Linked DNA regions of Oryza sativa Japonica Group. The protein of the gene in region 1 binds, or shares a complex with, the protein of each later gene. Links are inferred from orthologs where the notes say so. Each region holds a gene or a part of one and is shown on either strand. Other genes may lie near its edges.

The links. The genes of interacting proteins can lie anywhere in the genome.
Region 2: the proteins of NADH dehydrogenase [ubiquinone] 1 beta subcomplex subunit 8, mitochondrial (region 1) and NADH dehydrogenase [ubiquinone] 1 beta subcomplex subunit 7 are in contact, whole or in part, in a cryo-EM structure (PDB 8BEH), measured with the Arabidopsis thaliana proteins. The link is inferred for Oryza sativa Japonica Group from reciprocal best matches to the Arabidopsis thaliana genes AT5G47570 and AT2G02050. Residues at the interface, in NP_568684.1 of Arabidopsis thaliana: Ser103, Lys104, Val105, Pro106, Phe107, Thr108, Pro109, Arg110, Tyr112, Pro113, Tyr114, Leu117, Glu120, Leu121; in NP_565280.1 of Arabidopsis thaliana: Met10, Ala12, Thr13, Gln14, Met17, Leu24, Gly25, Arg27, Asp28, Met29, Arg69, Met70, Ala72, Met73, Ile76, Arg77.

The regions. Positions count from the first base shown.
Region 1 is NC_089044.1:22,340,729-22,349,107, reverse strand, and holds NADH dehydrogenase [ubiquinone] 1 beta subcomplex subunit 8, mitochondrial, read right to left. Parts: upstream 4,719-8,379; 5' UTR 4,640-4,718; coding exon 4,502-4,639; intron 4,372-4,501; coding exon 4,285-4,371; intron 4,199-4,284; coding exon 4,103-4,198; intron 2,074-4,102; coding exon 2,017-2,073; 3' UTR 1,815-2,016; downstream 1-1,814. Other genes in the region: putative lipid-binding protein AIR1B, read left to right, coding at 574-1,062. UniProt on the Arabidopsis thaliana protein: Accessory subunit of the mitochondrial membrane respiratory chain NADH dehydrogenase (Complex I), that is believed not to be involved in catalysis. Complex I functions in the transfer of electrons from NADH to the respiratory chain.
Region 2 is NC_089037.1:1,691,809-1,700,188, reverse strand, and holds NADH dehydrogenase [ubiquinone] 1 beta subcomplex subunit 7, read left to right. Parts: upstream 1-2,838; 5' UTR 2,839-2,929; coding exon 2,930-3,259; 3' UTR 3,260-3,290; intron 3,291-6,584; 3' UTR 6,585-6,812; downstream 6,813-8,380. UniProt on the Arabidopsis thaliana protein: Accessory subunit of the mitochondrial membrane respiratory chain NADH dehydrogenase (Complex I), that is believed not to be involved in catalysis. Complex I functions in the transfer of electrons from NADH to the respiratory chain.

The DNA of each region.
Region 1 (8,379 bases):
TAGAATACCCAGATATATAGCTTAGTTAATTATTAAGTCCGTCCAAAAATATACTCTCTCTGTTTTTCTCTCTGTTTTAGGTTATAAGATTTTTGATTTTAGTCAAAATCAAACTGTTTTAAATTTAATAGATAAATATAGCAATATTTATATTATCAAATTAGTTTTATTATATTAATAATTAAATATATTTTATAATAATTTTATCTTGGATTGAAAATATTATTATTTTTTTCTATAAATTTGGTTAAACTTAAAGCAGTTTGACTTTAACCAAAGTCAAAAACATCTTGTAACCTGAAACGGAGAGAGTAACAACCTAATTTCTATCCAGATTCGTGATACTAAAATGTATCAGTATCTAGTATTATGTTGTTATGTAATTGCCGGAACAACAAATGCCGGGCCGACTCAAGCAAATGCATGCCTAGCTCACTCACTCAGCTCAGCTCAATCCCCTGCTATAAATTCACTAGCTAGCTTGTGCACTGCACACAACACACACACTGAACTCTCACATAAACACTTCAACTCATCCCTTAGCTAGAGCTATAGCTAGTGTGTCAATTAGCAATGGCGGTGGCGCACAAGAACAGTAGTAGAAACAAGCTTGCAGTCGCCGCCATTGTGGCGCTGATGAGCCTCCTCGTGTTCGCCGCGGCGCCGTCGGAGGCATGCGGCGGCCGCTGCAACGGCGGCGCCTGCAGATCGCGGTGCGCCAAACCGACGCCGGCGCCGGCGCGCCGCGCCGCCGGCGCCAAGTGCCCGTTCGACGCGCTGAAGCTGGCGGCGTGCGCCGACGTGCTGGGCGGCGGCGGCGGAGGAGGAGGGCTGCTGAACCTGGGCCATCTGCTGGGGAACTCGTCGCCGTCGTCCTCCGGCGAGCAGTGCTGCGGGCTCCTCGCCGGCCTCGCCGACGTGGACGCCGCCGTGTGCCTCTGCACGGCGCTGCGCGCCAACGTGCTCGGCCTCGTCGGCGTCGAGCCGCACGTCCAGCTCAGCGTCCTCGTCAACCGCTGCAGCAGGAAGCTCCCCAATGGCTTCCAGTGCTCCAGCAACTAGCTAATTAAGCTAGCTAATTTGATTATATCTGAATTAATTAGTGCTTGATGAGCAGCTCATGCAGCTATTGTTATTGTTCGCTTATTTGATTTGTTGTTAATTGCTTTCGGTGTCGTGTGTGATCGTGTAGCGCATGCTTACTACTTTGATGACCGATGTTGAGTTAATTAATTCCTGTGCTTGAGTGAGTGACATTACATCTACATGTACCTCGGAGTTGATTTGTGCTTTTGCGTGCTAAAGTTCGTTATAAAAATCTTGTGTTGAATATATGTTGCTCGAGTAATATACCGTATATGTGATTCTGAATCTGAGCTGAATATGGAATAGTCAGTGTTTAATCTGCATGCATGGAGCAAGATTCCGAGAAACAACCGGTGAGTAAACTAGCGAGAATCTGAAAAGGAATGAGTTTGCCAACTTTTGAAATTCTGCAACTACAAATTATCAGAATGCAAGTCAAAATATGGAATGTTTAGAGCAACCGGGGATTATTCTCAAAGTTAAAGCTGCTATAGGCACCCCCAAAACAGGGCCAAGAGCTGGTTTGGAAACAATGCCAGAATCCATAACTCGTCTCATTTCTACAGCTTAAAGCCAGGTTGCACCTATAGAACATTGCCCAACAGATGAATGGCGCAAACCGTGGTTCAGACTCCAGGGCATTCTGTAAGAAGTTACAGGGCAAATATAGGCACTTGAAAATTCTAACTTTAAATCGTCAAGAGTCAATTCCTTAGCATGTGCAATAGTTGCTCAAAGACACTCATCGCATTATTATAGAACAAAGCCATGCTTGGCAGGATTCAGCAAATCACAAGATTGTAACTTATAAAAATACAGCGACAACAAAGACAACCATCAGGAACATTGGAATTGTCCTGTTTTTTTCTCTGATTAAAGAAGGCAAGAGAATTCAGTCCATCACATCACTTGAGGAAGTGGGGTCTTCTTCTATGGTCTATCACCAAGTTCCTCTCTCAAATTGTCAAATGGGTAGACTTTTGGAGTCTGCATGAAGAAATATAAAAAATCCTCAGTCAAGTTGTTCATAAAAGCAAATCAAAAGCAGACAGGCATCATTTGTCGTGATTAGGATGAACCATTATCTTAACTTGATCCGGTCTATGCTCAGAAATAGTATGCATATTTCTTTGCCCATTGGCGACAAAATATGCAACAGGCTTGCTACTGTAACAAGTGTTACTTTAATGACTGATCGCACAATCTAATAGCATTCTGGCAAATATAAGGAGATAAATTGAAAATACAGTATTGCCCCCTCTCTTTTGTGAACCTTCATTCTTCAATTAAGTTACAGACCTGGAACACTGAAGAGGCAAGTTGCTTAACATGTATAGTAACTCTGCTATCTGCTGACACTTTTAAGGAGCAAATCAACTCTTGGGGGGATTTCATCTATGGCAGAGAAGCAACTTAGAGAAAGTAAGAGACTGTGTAGCCTGTACGGAGTATCGAACACGGATAATATGTACAAATAAAATCCTACATGCTTCAAAGTTCGCAACAGTTTAGCCTACCACACCATGTCACCATGATATCTCTATGAACTATGAAGCTAGACCAAACACCTCCCTTTTTCCCCTAAAAAAAACTCCCTTTTCAGAATCGAAATTGGATAGGTGCTGAGAAAGGAGACTAATAGGTCAGAAAATTGAAGGGTTAAAGAGTTCTACAAAGACCACACAAAGTTATTATCACAGCCCCACTCCATGATTCAACTCAAACTAGTGCCTAGTATGATCACATTGAGGTAATATTTAGTGTTACATATAGACCAACAGAACATGATAATCAATACTACTACCTCCATTTCACAATGTAAGACTTTCTAACATTGTCCATATTCATATAGATGTTAATGAATTTAGACGCATATTTGTGTTTATATTCATTAACATCTATATGAATATGGGTAATGCTAGAAAGTCTTACATTGTGAAACGGAGGGAGTACAATTCAAGTAATATAAATCAAGGCTTTTACATATGAGGAAACACAATGAAGTTATATTTACAGAAGATGCTAAAATATAGAGTGCATGGCCTGATCAAGAAGTAAATTTAGGCATAGTGAGTAAAATGTTCCCTAAGAATATCACAGATTCTATAAAATAACACCTCATACAATATCCTCTCATCCAAAAACATTTGAAGGCAGCTAATAAGGGTGACTAAATTCAGCTTGCTAACAGAGAGTGGCAATACGCCATATATATTTGTAACTGTTTGATACAAGAGGATAAGAGCACATGACTGATTGCATTTAGGATTTAAAATATACATCCTTCAAAAATGCCATCTATTCATCATATTTTCTTACAGTACAACTAGGTCTATGATTGTTTAGTCTAGTGATGATTTCTTTTTATGAAAATGGACAACAATGATCTCAATTCCATTAAATCATTTTCAAACTCTTTTTTTTCCCTCTTTTGCTGATTCTATAAATTGGAGGGTAGGAACAATATAAAATTACTCTTTGCTATATGACTATATAGCTAGGAGCAATATAGAATTACTTGTCAGTATATACTATATAGTAGCAAGGAACAGATCGAACCCAAGGAGCTATTGTTCAACAGAAAACTTCAATGTGCATTGTTAATTCAATAATATAATTAATGCAGATGATCAGCATACTCCCTTAGTGGCCTAATCCTCATAGAAGTTATCTGGAGGCAAAATCTTCTAACTTGAGAATGACTAGATATAACATTTAGACATATTAACTGTGCCACCTAGAGAATCATGTGAGCAAAATGGAAGGAAAGGAATTTGCAGAAACAACGGCAGGTCCTAATGGGCGAAATAAAGGTTTAACTATGACACAGGGATTGAATCACAGTGGCCATTTCCCATCTTAATGTTTTCCCCATCCCTGCAATGTTTTCTTGGCTATTTGGTCTAACCTTACAGTATTACTTTGTTCACTCCTACTGTTGTTGAAATGCTAGCAATTCTACTGTTTGTCCATCCAACAGAAAGTAAAATATCACAATGAAGTATTTGGCACTCACATAGGGGATCTTGGAGGCCTTGTCGTTCAAGGTGGCAGCCAAGCCAAGAGTAGCGAAGAATCCGAGCCCACCGCAAAGCCAGGCCAGCGCCTCGTACTGACCAAATAGCATCACATCAAATCAAACCAGATGAGACCCCCACGAATCCATGTGATTCAGTGCATGAGGGTTGGGAATCAGACCTTGCCGATGTGCGGCGCGAGGCGGTCGATGCAGGGCTCCGGGAAGGGCGTGCCGTTGTCCCACACCAGCTCGTCGTTCGTCGGCAGCTGCAAATTCCCCAAATCCCCCCGCAAATCGAATCGATTAGATGGAGAAATCGCATCGGCGGAGAGAGAAATCGGAGGAGCACAAGGTCGATGAGAGGGGGGGGGAGAGGTGTGGCGAGAGACGGCTTACGGGCTTGTCGGGGACGATGTGCCTGCCGACGGGGAGGCCCATGCCGGCGCGGTGGCGGAGCGCGGACACCGCGGCGCGGGCAGCGGCGCCCTGGCCGCCCAGGACGCGGGATCCCGCCGCGGTCAGCCTCCCTGCCATTCCCACCTCGCTCTCGCTCTCGCCTCTCGGATCTGCGCGTGCGGTTGTGGGTGACGTCGTCTCGTGTGCGGTTGTGCTCGTCGGCGGCGGCGGCGGAGAGGAGGAAGACGCAGGAGTGTAGGTGGGCTTCAGTTCAGCCTTCGCATTGTGGGCCCGTGGGCCGAGTGGAGAAGGCAAGTATTGGGTCAACCAAACGGCCTAGTCGCTGCATGGCCCAAACGCCTCTTTTGGGGGTTCGGAGAATAAAACCACAGCAATCATCACACGCGCATCAGCGATATATATTTTTTATTTTTTTTGTTTTTTGTTGCCGTTTTGGTTTGATCGGTTGATCCGAAAACTGGATATGAGAAATTGTCGGACGAAATTTGCACTTTCTGGCTAGGTGACTGCTGATGGAGTCACACGTACATATTCAGTTCAGTTGTTAAGGCTGTGTTTAGTTCCTAAAATTGAGAAGAAGTTTAAGAAAAGTTAATAGTTTTAAAAAAAAGTTGAGAGTTTATGTGAGTAGAAAAATTTTGTATTTAATGCGATGTGATGGAAAGTTGGAAGTTTAGGAAAAGTTTAATGTGAATTAAACAGGGTCTAAGGTGATGAGCTGCTAGCTACTACTCCTACCTTGCAAATGTTGCCAAAATGAACTAGCTAGGGCATGAATTATGGGATCAGCGATCAGTATAGGTTTCAGAAAGCGCACAAACATTTCCACTCAACAGTACAGTACGCGCGGTTGGACGAGCCATAATTAATTCAGATATACAGTATGCTGCTCCGTTTGGTTAATTCCAGGTCGCCATTATTAAAGTAGGTCATGAGATAACAGTCCCTCCATCTCTGTCACTAAGAGCACCCACAATCTATCTAATAAAACATGTACATCTCAGCAATAGACTAGATTAATAGTAAACCACCTCAATAGTATGTCTACATGGGTATCTATAGCTCTCTAATCCATTGTCTCGTTTTTCTCTATAGACTATCTCTAGGTTAGTAGATAATTTTGCTCTCTCTCTTTATTTAATCTCTTTCAAGTAGGAAAATATGCTGACATGGATCTCTTATAGATAGCCTATAAATAACCATTGTGGGTGCCCTAACAGCTACTCCCTCCGTCCCAAAAAAAAGGCAAACTCTGGGTTTCCGTGCCAACGTTTGACTGTCCGTCTTATATGAAATTTTTTTATAATTATTATTTTTATTGTTGTTAGATGATAAAACATGATTAATACTTTATACGTGACTTATCTTTTTAATTTTTTTTATAATTTTTTTAAATAAGGCGAATGATCAAATGTTAGACACGGAAACTAGGGTTTATCTTTTTTTTGGACGGATGGAGTAGGAGTATTCAGGTCATGACTCATGAGTGCTATCTGTCTCTACGGTATTTCTGAAGAAAACCACACGGCAAATGGCACAAGTCAATCCTACGTGCTCCACTGTAGAATCTAGTCCTATAGTCCCATATACTCTTGACAAGTACTGTTGCTTATTGTGATATCATAATGCAATTAGTACTTTATTACTTATTAGTGAGTACTCCTACGTTCAGAAGCAACTTATTAGTTAACTGACTAACTGCATATTTAATTAAGCGGCTAAGTTGCGCGCGGTTCTTTACCCATCAAATTGCATAATCTGTAATGCGGTTCCAAGAACAGCTTGAGTAAAATGAGACAGAGATCCAGTCTCACTCGCTCACCGAAAACATGAAAATTCAGAACGTACAGTCTGCAAGAAATCTCCTCGCACTCGCCGACGTCCGTGCTATCCGTACGTCTCCGGCGGCGACCCCTCCTAGGATTGACACACAGTGAGAGGGGCCGCGTGGACCCAGTCTCTTTTTAGCCCAAATGTCTCCTTGGGGATTCCACCTCCGACGAACCACTGGGCACTTGCATTTGTTCGGGGTTTAGCCTTCATCCGAAATCTGAAAACGAGTAATTCGGAGATCTCCTCTGACATCCGAGAATTGATGCAGATCATGCATCACCGTGTGTGTTTAGTTCACGTCAAAATTAAAAATTTGGTTAAAATTTGAACGATGTGATGAAAAAGTTAGAAGTTTATGTGTGTAGAAAAGTTTGGATGTGATGAAAAAGTTAAAAGTTTGAAGAAAAATGTCAGGATAAGCAAGGAAGCTGACGTTACCAATAGGAGGCGCGATAAGGACTCTGACGAAGGCGGAGGAGCAGAAGACGGAGGAGCAGAAGGCGTCTTTGAAAGAGAGAAGCGCCAGAGTATTACTAATCCTAGATATGTTGGGCCGGAATGGGCCGTGTAATAGGGTAGAGTGGGCTGAGACCTTGTGGCACAGCTGGAGAGAGAGAGAGAGAGATTAAAAACTACTGTGTACTGTCTGAAACGGCATCGATCTGGAACTCGGCGGTCAAGGCAGCGGCGGCGGCTCCGATCCTGTTGGATCGTGAGAGAAATACAAAGTTCCAGCTACCTATCGTGTTCTTGAGTTCGTGGTGAAATCGAGTGCTAGGGTTCTAACAATCTGGTATCAGAGCCATCTCCAACCATATCCTCTTGACTCGGCCGTAGAATCACGAAGCGCGGATTGGAATCTGCTCTCGAGCAGAATCCGCAAAAAGGGAACTCGCTTCCCTTGCTGCGTTTGGGTTGGCTGAGTTCGGAGCGGTTGCGAGTCTTTGATCCTGGAGAAACCACGGTACGTTACGAAGTAGGCTGCGCAAATCATGGCGTAGGAAGGGATGTTGGATTTGCTGCTTAAAACCCTGGAGGATATTGAGAAGATGCGGACTGAGGCGGAAGAAAGAAACAGAGCAGATCTGAATGAGTTCATGGCGGCGGTGGAAGCGAGGTTGCCTCAAGTAGAGAAACGAGTTGGGGATTTGCATTCGTCGCTGGGGGATTTGAGTGCTAAGGTGGAACAACTGGAGAGCGCCATGCTTCGTCAGGCCAAGGCGGAGAAGGCGGTGGGAGACATCAAGGAGGAACCAACAGCTGCATCGCCATCACCAACTCCATCGTTTATCCATGGTATGAGAGATCCTATGTTGAATTCTATTTCGCCTTTTGTGGTAGAATCAGCAGGAGTACCAGAAGGGGGTAGTGGAAGTACTGGAATTATTGTTGGAAGTGTTCCACCCATGACATGTCCTCAGTTCAATGGGGATAATCCACAGATGTGGAAGGCTAATTGTGAAGTGTATTTCAATGTTTACGGCATTCCTCCTGGGCAGTGGGTTAAGGTGGCTACGCTGAATTTTGTTGGCAACGCAGCATTTTGGTTGCAATCTGTGCGAAACCAGTTGATTGGCATTACTTGGTTTGATTTATGTGAAAGAGTCTGTGCTCGATTTACTCGAGATAGGCATGAAGCTATGGTGAGACAATATATACACATCAGGCAAACCAATTCAGTTTCAGAATATGTAGAGCGATTCGACTGTCTAATGCATCGGCTGTTGGCATATGACCAGACTGTGCCTGCATTGTACTTTGTCACAAAATTTGTTGATGGCCTTAAGGATGAGGTGAGGAGATCTGTTATGATGATGAGGCCCCAAGATATGGATGTGGCCTGTTCTCTGGCTTTGTTACAGGAAGAAGCTATGGAAGGAAGTAGACCCACACCTTATAAGAGGACTGAAGGCAGCAATTATGTCAAGACATCCAGCAAGCTCACAGCCCCAACTCTGTCTATGACAAGAGAACCAAACCAAATCAACACTGAAGAAAGGAGAACTGCTGATTCTAACAGACCA
Region 2 (8,380 bases), on another chromosome or scaffold:
GATTTTCGCCTGTTGTTTTGGTTGAGATATTATATAATCTTGATGGAAGTGAGGATCCTTTCCCCAGCTGATCGACTATGATTATACTGTGCGCAAATGTAATCCCTCTTCAGAGGATTCAAGCCAGAAATCTGATCCATCTGCTATTCTCAACACAATTTCAGCTTTGTATTTTTGTTTTGCAGTGTTTTTTTGCGCGACCCTTTTTTGTTTGTTTGTTTGTTTGAATGGAAGTGAAGATCCTTTCCCCAGATGATCGACTACGATTATACTGTGCGCAAATGTAATCCCTTTTCGGAGGATTCAAGCCAGAAATCTGATCCATACAGAATGCAATATTTAACTTTACTTTTTGTGGTTTTGTAATTTTTTTTTCTGTACAGTTTTTGCTCGTCCAATTGTTTGTTTGAATGGAAGTGACGATCCTTTCCCCAGATGATCGACTATGATTATACAGTGCGCACAAGTGACCCCTCTTCGAGGAGGATTCCAAGCCAGAATTCTGATCCATTTTTTTATATAGTTTTGGTCCGTTCTTTGTTGTTTCGGTCTTTTATTTTTCAGAAGGGAAACAATGAGGCAGCACGAAGAAGTGAAGAACGGACAAATCCTTCCATTTAAGAAAGAAGACAGCAAATGGCATACGCGAGTACACATCACCAAATACAGAGTGGAAAAATTATCAACGAATATCCAACTATAAATTGTATGTGCTTTCAATTAGAGATACTTAAAAAAATGAGAAGAATGAATCACAAATATTAGTTATTTGTCAAATTGCTGACAAATTTTCCATGTCACCCGTAAATGTGGACATGTGGTTGCTTGGTGACAGTCTGCTAGGCAACTGCAATACCCGATATCACTCGCCGTTAGCATTCAGAGCCTGGACAGTTCTGCATTTGCATTGGAGGAGAAACATTCAGAACTTACACGAGCATTCGCATTGGAGCCTTGGAGGAGACAATCAGAATCTACACTATAAATGGCCGAAGGGGCTGCCTGCCTGGTCTGAGGGCAGTCGGGCCGTCACGGACCAACAAACTCACTGTGACAGGCCGTGCCCGCTCATGGGCTGCACTATGGCCCTGGCACGGCCCAATAAACTCGGACCGTGTCGTGTCGAAGGCATGATCAACCCACCGTCCTTAGCTTTAAATAAGTATATTTTGACTCCCTCATTTCTAAAAAAAATCGTGCGTACTAGTACTGCATTTTGTTGTTAGCAGATTTATCGATACACGACAGAAGTGCTCTGAGGGTAGTGCTCTTATCAGGGCATCCATGATGTAACACAAAAGTGACCCAAATAAAATGTAGCCCATTCAATCCGTAGCTCAACGTAGCTAAATATCCAAACTTTCAATCCTCTTTGTTTAGGATTATAAACTAATTTATGTGCAAAAAATCTTATGCTATTAAACAAGCGGTTTTTTCGTTTCGCCTTTTTAAAGTCGTAAGCTACTCTTGTGCTATTAAGCCAAAAGCTAAGTCAGAAGCTTTTTTTTAAGCTTATATAAGGTAAAAAAAATATGACTCTACATTTAAAGTTAGAACTTTAAAATCCATTAGCTTATAAGTCACACACACACACACACACACACATATATATATATATAGATATATATATATATATATATATATATATATATATATATATATATATATATATATATATATATATATATATATATATATATATATATATATATATATATATAAGAAAAGCTAACTTGTTATTATCATTTATGACATACCTGGCTAAAGCATGGATTTGTATGGCTTGGTACCAAAATGAGTCTGGCTAAGCCCACCACAACACAGCTAACATATTGTAGTACTCTAGTTGGGCATAAAACGGATAAAGATTAAGGTTGAGGCCGGCAAAATTTTATTAAGAAACAAGTTTTTGATTGCCAATGTTTTTCTAAAAAAAATTAAAGTAAATATCACAAAACCTCTAGTATTATGGTCTGAGTTTCAAAATAACCATGGAGATTTTAGTCTATCCAGATATCTAGAGTTATTTTGATACTTCTCTTCCAGTAAACCACACCCCAACCACATCTTAGCAATGATGATATGTGGGACCCGCTGAGGCCTGGGTAGGGTTGACCTTCTCTACTTCATGTAGGACTCACCGCTACCTACGTTGTCGCCACCCACGTCAATAATCCTCGATTGTGATGCTAACTCTAGTCCCGTCGCAATCATGTTAACCTCATCCTCATTCGTCACCACTAGTCCTCGCTGTTGTTGCCTCTCGCCTGCAAGCATCATCTGCTTCTCCTCTAACTCGCCGCCACCATCTCTCATCGGACCATCGCAGCTCGACTCCTCGCTGCAGATCTAGCTAGGGTGGGTGCCATGGCACCCTTGTCGCTTCACCACAAGCACCATCGTTATCTATTGCCGTATGTTATTTCGTTGTTCCGTCTATGTAAAACAAATCTAAAGATCTTAGAAGTTTTTTTAAAAGAAAAACACACCGTTTAGCAGTTCGAGAAACCCGTTATCGAAAACCCATATAAAATTTAAATCTTAATCAGAAAAGAATAGGGCTTTTTATATAAGCATTACTTTAAAATATTAAATAATAATTTTTTTATGTTTGGAACAATTAAAACTTAATTAATTATACTCTGATAACTTTCTCTGCGCTGATTTTATTCTAAATCTATCTCAAACATCAGCTATGTGTTACTATGACTTATGACTACGTTCAACTTTTAATCCCAGTTTACTTGGGGCCATTTTTTTTATTTTTTACGGAAGTTTACTTGGGGCATTGGGGAAGCGAGAAACTTCTTGGTCTAGCTGGAGCCCGAACCCGAGCCCAAAGCGACCGATCCAACCACCCGCATCCACACACCGCACCACCAACCATCGACCGCCTCGCCGGAGAGGAGAGAGAAAGGAAGAGCGCGAGATGGAGGCGGCGGCGGCGGCCGGCGTGCAGCTGGGCACCTCGAAGCCGCAGATCGCGACCCAGGCGGAGATGTCGGAGGCGCGCCTCCCACTGCCCTACCGCGACCAGTGCGCCCACCTCCTCATCCCCCTCAACAAGTGCCGCGTCGCCGAGTACTACCTCCCCTGGAAGTGCGAGCCCGAGCGCCACGCCTACGAGAAGTGCCAGTACGAGCTCGTCATGGAGCGGATGATCCAGATGCAGAAGATCCGCGAGGCGCAGGAGGCCAAGTCCAAGGGCGCCGCCACCATTGGCGTCCCCCTCATCCCTTCCACCGCCAAGCTCTCCTGATCCCCGCTCCGCTTCGATCTGCTCTATTCAGGTGATCCCCCGCCCCGCCTTGTCATTTTGGCCCCTCTAGATTTGGCTCGATTGCTGTGATTGGCTTCGTGATTGCGATTTCAACGCAAATTTTACCCTTCGGAATTCGACGAGCACTACTGATGAACCTTTAGGCTGTAGAGGTATTGAAACTTGAGTTTCCATTTCGGCTGTTTTAGCGGCGCCATCAGTTCAACCTACTGAATTTCTTATACCGGTGCTACAATGTTAGCTAGGGTTTTCACTAGTTGGTTATGAATCCTAACACTACTGGTTTTCACTAGCTGGTTATGATTGGGAGATATAAGTCCAACACTAATTCGTGGGAGAACAATACATGCCTGAATCCTGCATCAGTAACCCAATTTATTTGGAGATCTGAATTTAGTTTTGTTGTCACCAACTTGCTGAATGTTTCGATCCCAACACTTGCCTGATATCCTGCACTGGTATGCACTTTGAATTTCCACTAGCTGTGCTCTTGGTGGTGGGATTCGGATCCTCTGACACGCAGTAGTCAAGTCGAAGACGTGGTAGTACCCATCTATCCGCTGTCCAAAACCATCCGATGGCTCCTGCTTATTAGCCAGTTCTTCTCCACTGCTTGCAAGGTTGCATTGTTAAGGACACGCTGTTCCCATCCACTAGGACCTCTCGTCTGAGCACGTCAACGACCAAAATGCTTGATGTTAATGAGGAGAATGCTGCTGAGAAGCGAATTTGTTTCATTAGTGATTGCTTTGGCCAATACCAAGCGGAGCTCCTTAAGTTAGCCTCCCTTTTCTTCGTAGTGTCCGTGTGGCGGCGCGTGCCGTTGGACGGCCACAAAATTGGGCTGAACCGTTTCTGACCGCTCCAAAGATCAACTCTAAAATTTGCCACCTCAAGGCTAATTTTCTCAAATCGAGGTTGAAATTATTTTTCACATGTTCTATAGCCCCTTTCGCTTTCCAGAGCAAATTATCTGCCTCAGCCCACCGGAGCAGGACACCACCAATGCCATGTTTCTGGCCACCACAGAGCTCACCCGCCACTCCGCAGCCACAGGTGACCCCAACCTGAACAACACTTCCACAAGCTCTGCTTTGTTTCATGGGTACTCGATGACCACAGCGCCATACCACAGCATCGTGGATTTTGTGGCCGTAGGCATGTAATGACTTAGGAGTATGTGCGAACTGCGAAGAAGGCAGGAAGAAAAGGGGAGAACGAAGACCAAATAAGGATCATTGGATTAAAACAGACAGTTGATATAGAGGGGTACTGCACGTCTCTGACTTAACTACTGCATGTCAGAGGATGCAAATCCCTCTTGGTGGTGCTGAAGTTCACGGGAAAACTATGTAGACTTGGGAAACACATAGTCAGAATTCCTGCTGTTTAGCCTGGAGCCTTGTAGCAATGGAGCATTTCAGGTTTTTTTTCTGTTTTAAGCTGATAGTTGCTCTCAGTCACTCAGTGATCTCTAACGTTTTGACTTCTCTCTGTCCCTTAACAGGGTACTTTTCTTTATTTCATTTAGGACAAGTAAAAGCTCTTCTTTGATTAAAATTTATACAGAAATTATGTTTCCCCATGCTTTTGCCTTCCCCCTTCTTAGCTATGCTGGCACACTTTACCTTGTATGACCAGCATTAGTTGTATTCATGTCTACTTATACATAAAGCTTTGTTGTTAGCCAACCTTTTTTTTTTCAATTTTACTTTGTCCTTTCTCTCATGAGCTAAAGTTTATTTGAAATTGACCTCTGGCCTCTGGGTTGATATCAATGGGGTATCCTTTTTAAAGAACGTGACCTGGTTGTTTATACATCTCTTATTTGAGAATAAAGTCCTCTCATTTGATGCATCTCCAATCAGTTGTGTGCATTTATTTGCTTTATTCTATGATTTCCCCTGTTTCTATTCTCATTTACAGAGTGCTGCCTTGACAGCTGACAATTGTTTGGTAGACCTGTGATTTGATGGCATTGGTATTAGTGACCTAGCAATGGAGATCAAGAAGTCTTTCCCAAAATCTTGATTTGATGTTTTATTTAGTTGTAATATGGTGCTTTGTGCAATTTACTGGCCATTTTTTTAAGAAAGCGAACCACTAAAAGTTAAATACTACACGGTCGTTGGTTTATAAACATACAAACAGAACTAGTGTCACTAATTACTAGTTACTGGCAAACCGGATGTAAAATACAGTATCAGAATGAGCAAATGCTGGTGAACAATTATACCAAATTGCTGAGTAATTACTGGATTTGTAGTTCTACTTGCTTTCTTTGCTGAGCCGCTTACCTTCTCTTTGACATAGAAGATCATTTAACTTAACATGAGTGACCAACCTAATTCATGGAAGCAACCATCAAAAGATAACAAGATATAGGGAAATTGATCTGGGACAGAAATGTTGCAAATATGTAGTCTATCTTGTTTTTAGAGTTACCTTCCGTGTGCACCTCTTAAACATTAAGTCCTTTTCTCATCCATGTTTTGTTGAAAACATATTGGATGTGATATTTAAGGAACTGTCCACTGCAAATCATTTGTTTGAAGTATCTAGTAGTAGGAGTATTGCAGTGCAAGTTCTCTTTGATAGTTCCTCTGTGACAACAAGAAACAAAGGACATAATAATGACAGAAGTACATAAGTACAGATAATATACTTTGGCTGCTTCGTTTCTTCTGCTAATAGTAACTGCAAAATGATTCCTTGCACTTATTGTGTATGGAGTACTACTTTATCTTCAGAGTTATGAATCATGACACACTGACATAAATCGTGTTGGCATTTGCAATCTTTTCAACTGTCCATTAGGTGATGAAATCATTCTGTACCTTTAGGCTGTTAGTTTCTGGCATATTGGTAGATCCATACTCTCTACAGTTCAGTCATCATAGTATAGACCGGCATCTTAGATGCTGCAACTATTTAGTCTTCATGCCTTTGATGATAAGTGCTCTTTGGGAGGTTCCTCTCCCATTTGAATGCATCACTATAACCTTTGATGGCATAGACATTGGATGTGTCAGATGGTTAAGTTTGGGGACAGCGGTTTTTTCCCTATCAGAATGGCATGTGGCTCATGTGGTGTTTACTCTGTGCATCCTTTGTTTTCACCTCAACCTGAGTCAGTAAATGCGATGCTGTTTTATTCTGTTTCCTCTGGCACAATTTGGTTCTGTTTTGTTCCTTCCCTGATGGCACTCTGTCTAGAAACTCCATCCGATTTTTCTTTTTTATATAGCACACATTTATCAGTTTATCAGTCATATTGACAATTGGATTCCTTTCGGATGCACAGGGCTGGTTATGACAGCACGAAGGACATTGTGCAAGGATCGTGGATGCTAGTTCTATGAACCAAACATCTGTTTGAATTTAGCATAAAGTTAACTGTTGTCTTCTTCTCTCCGCCTTTACTCCGTTGGTGAGCATCTTCGAGTTTCAATATGAAATAAGGAACTACCTGTTTATACTCAATGACTGAAATGACGCCTTAAAGTTTTGAATGCAATGCGTGGACTCTGCATATGAAGAGCTACTTTAATTCAGTAGAACAACCCAGTTACTCCCAGTCTCCCAGTAACATATCCTTCCATAAGCTCATAGGCTGAAACCTTTTATATGCTCTGTCACTACTGTGTGTAGCATAGGAACTGCAGTTGTTGTTTGTGCTTTAGTTTTGTTGATCCATTGCTTACCTAATTATCTTTAGTCGTGGCCAGTCTTAGGTTATGTGTTCTTCAGGCCGGATTATGGGGATCTGGTTGCTTTTGCAGAACCTGCCTTGATGAGGGCCAAAAGTATATAGGGATTTCGTAGTCAAACGATCTTTTTGATACTCCAAGTCACAACCTATTTTGTCTACTTGGATCACCAACTAAAAACTAAGAGCAATTCCCCCACTACTGGTAGTGTCACCTACTCCCTCCATCCTATTTTAGGCGTAGTTATGAGTATCCGTGTTCAAATTTAATCGTCCGTCTTATTTAATTTTTTTTTTGAAAAAAATAATAAAAAAACATAAATCATGTAGTATAAAGTATTATTTATGTTTTATCATCAAATAATAATAAAAATACTAATCATAACAAAAATTCAAATAAGACGGATGATTAAAGTTGGATAAAAAAACTTATGGCTGTGCTTAAAATAGGACGGAGAGAGTAGAAACTAGTGTAAGGCTTTGTTTGGGAGAGTTTAAGCTGCTTGCATGCTTCTGAGAATTTTGAAAATTTGGGTTTCGCGAGTTTGAGCTTCTACGGTTAGTTTATTTTATAAATTCTATAGCTACAGATACTGAGGATGTGGACTGAAAATTCTGGGAAAATTGGCTTTTGCTAAAAGCTCCCGTAAACGTATGCTAAGTCTCTACAATTCCAAGTCTCTCACTAACATTACTAATTCAATATGATAATTAATCATTATTTCTCTCACATTATGTCTTGAGCTACGCCTAGTAGAAACTACTCCGTACTACAAGATCGGTTTCTTTATCATTCCTCATTTAATAGTTAGATTGTCACATTATATTATTTTAAATAGAATTGTCTAAATACAATAGAACTTTATTTTTCTAAAAAAAACTTGTAGTGGGTTTATAGCTTTACAAAATTCTGGGTGGCGCTTGTGGATGGTTGATGACTCTAAAAGACGCTATCATACTGGAGTATCTCCTATGTATGCGGCGCTGGTGTTACAAATTCTCCCCTCGTTGCTGTTGACAAGGAGATAATGACATTGGATTCTTCCTGTTGGCAATAATTACAATGCCAAATTGCCAACATCTCATCTCAAGTACTCAACCGGCGTTCGTCCTTTGACATGGGAACAGCGGTCGACTACAATACGTGCCACCCTCGACGACGGCCGCGGCGGGGACGGTGACCCGTTGCAATCAGAGAAGGACGCGGCAGCTGCCTGCGGCGAGGGAGGCAAGCGGCAGCGGAGGGTAGGACAAGACGCGTGCAGCAGCAGCAGCAAGCAGGCAGCGAGATGTGCGATTGTGCATGCATGCATGCGTGCAATTTTGAGTAGTCTGTTGTAGTTGTAGCGTTTAGCCATGGCCCAGGCAGGGGAATGATGATGACAAGGAGA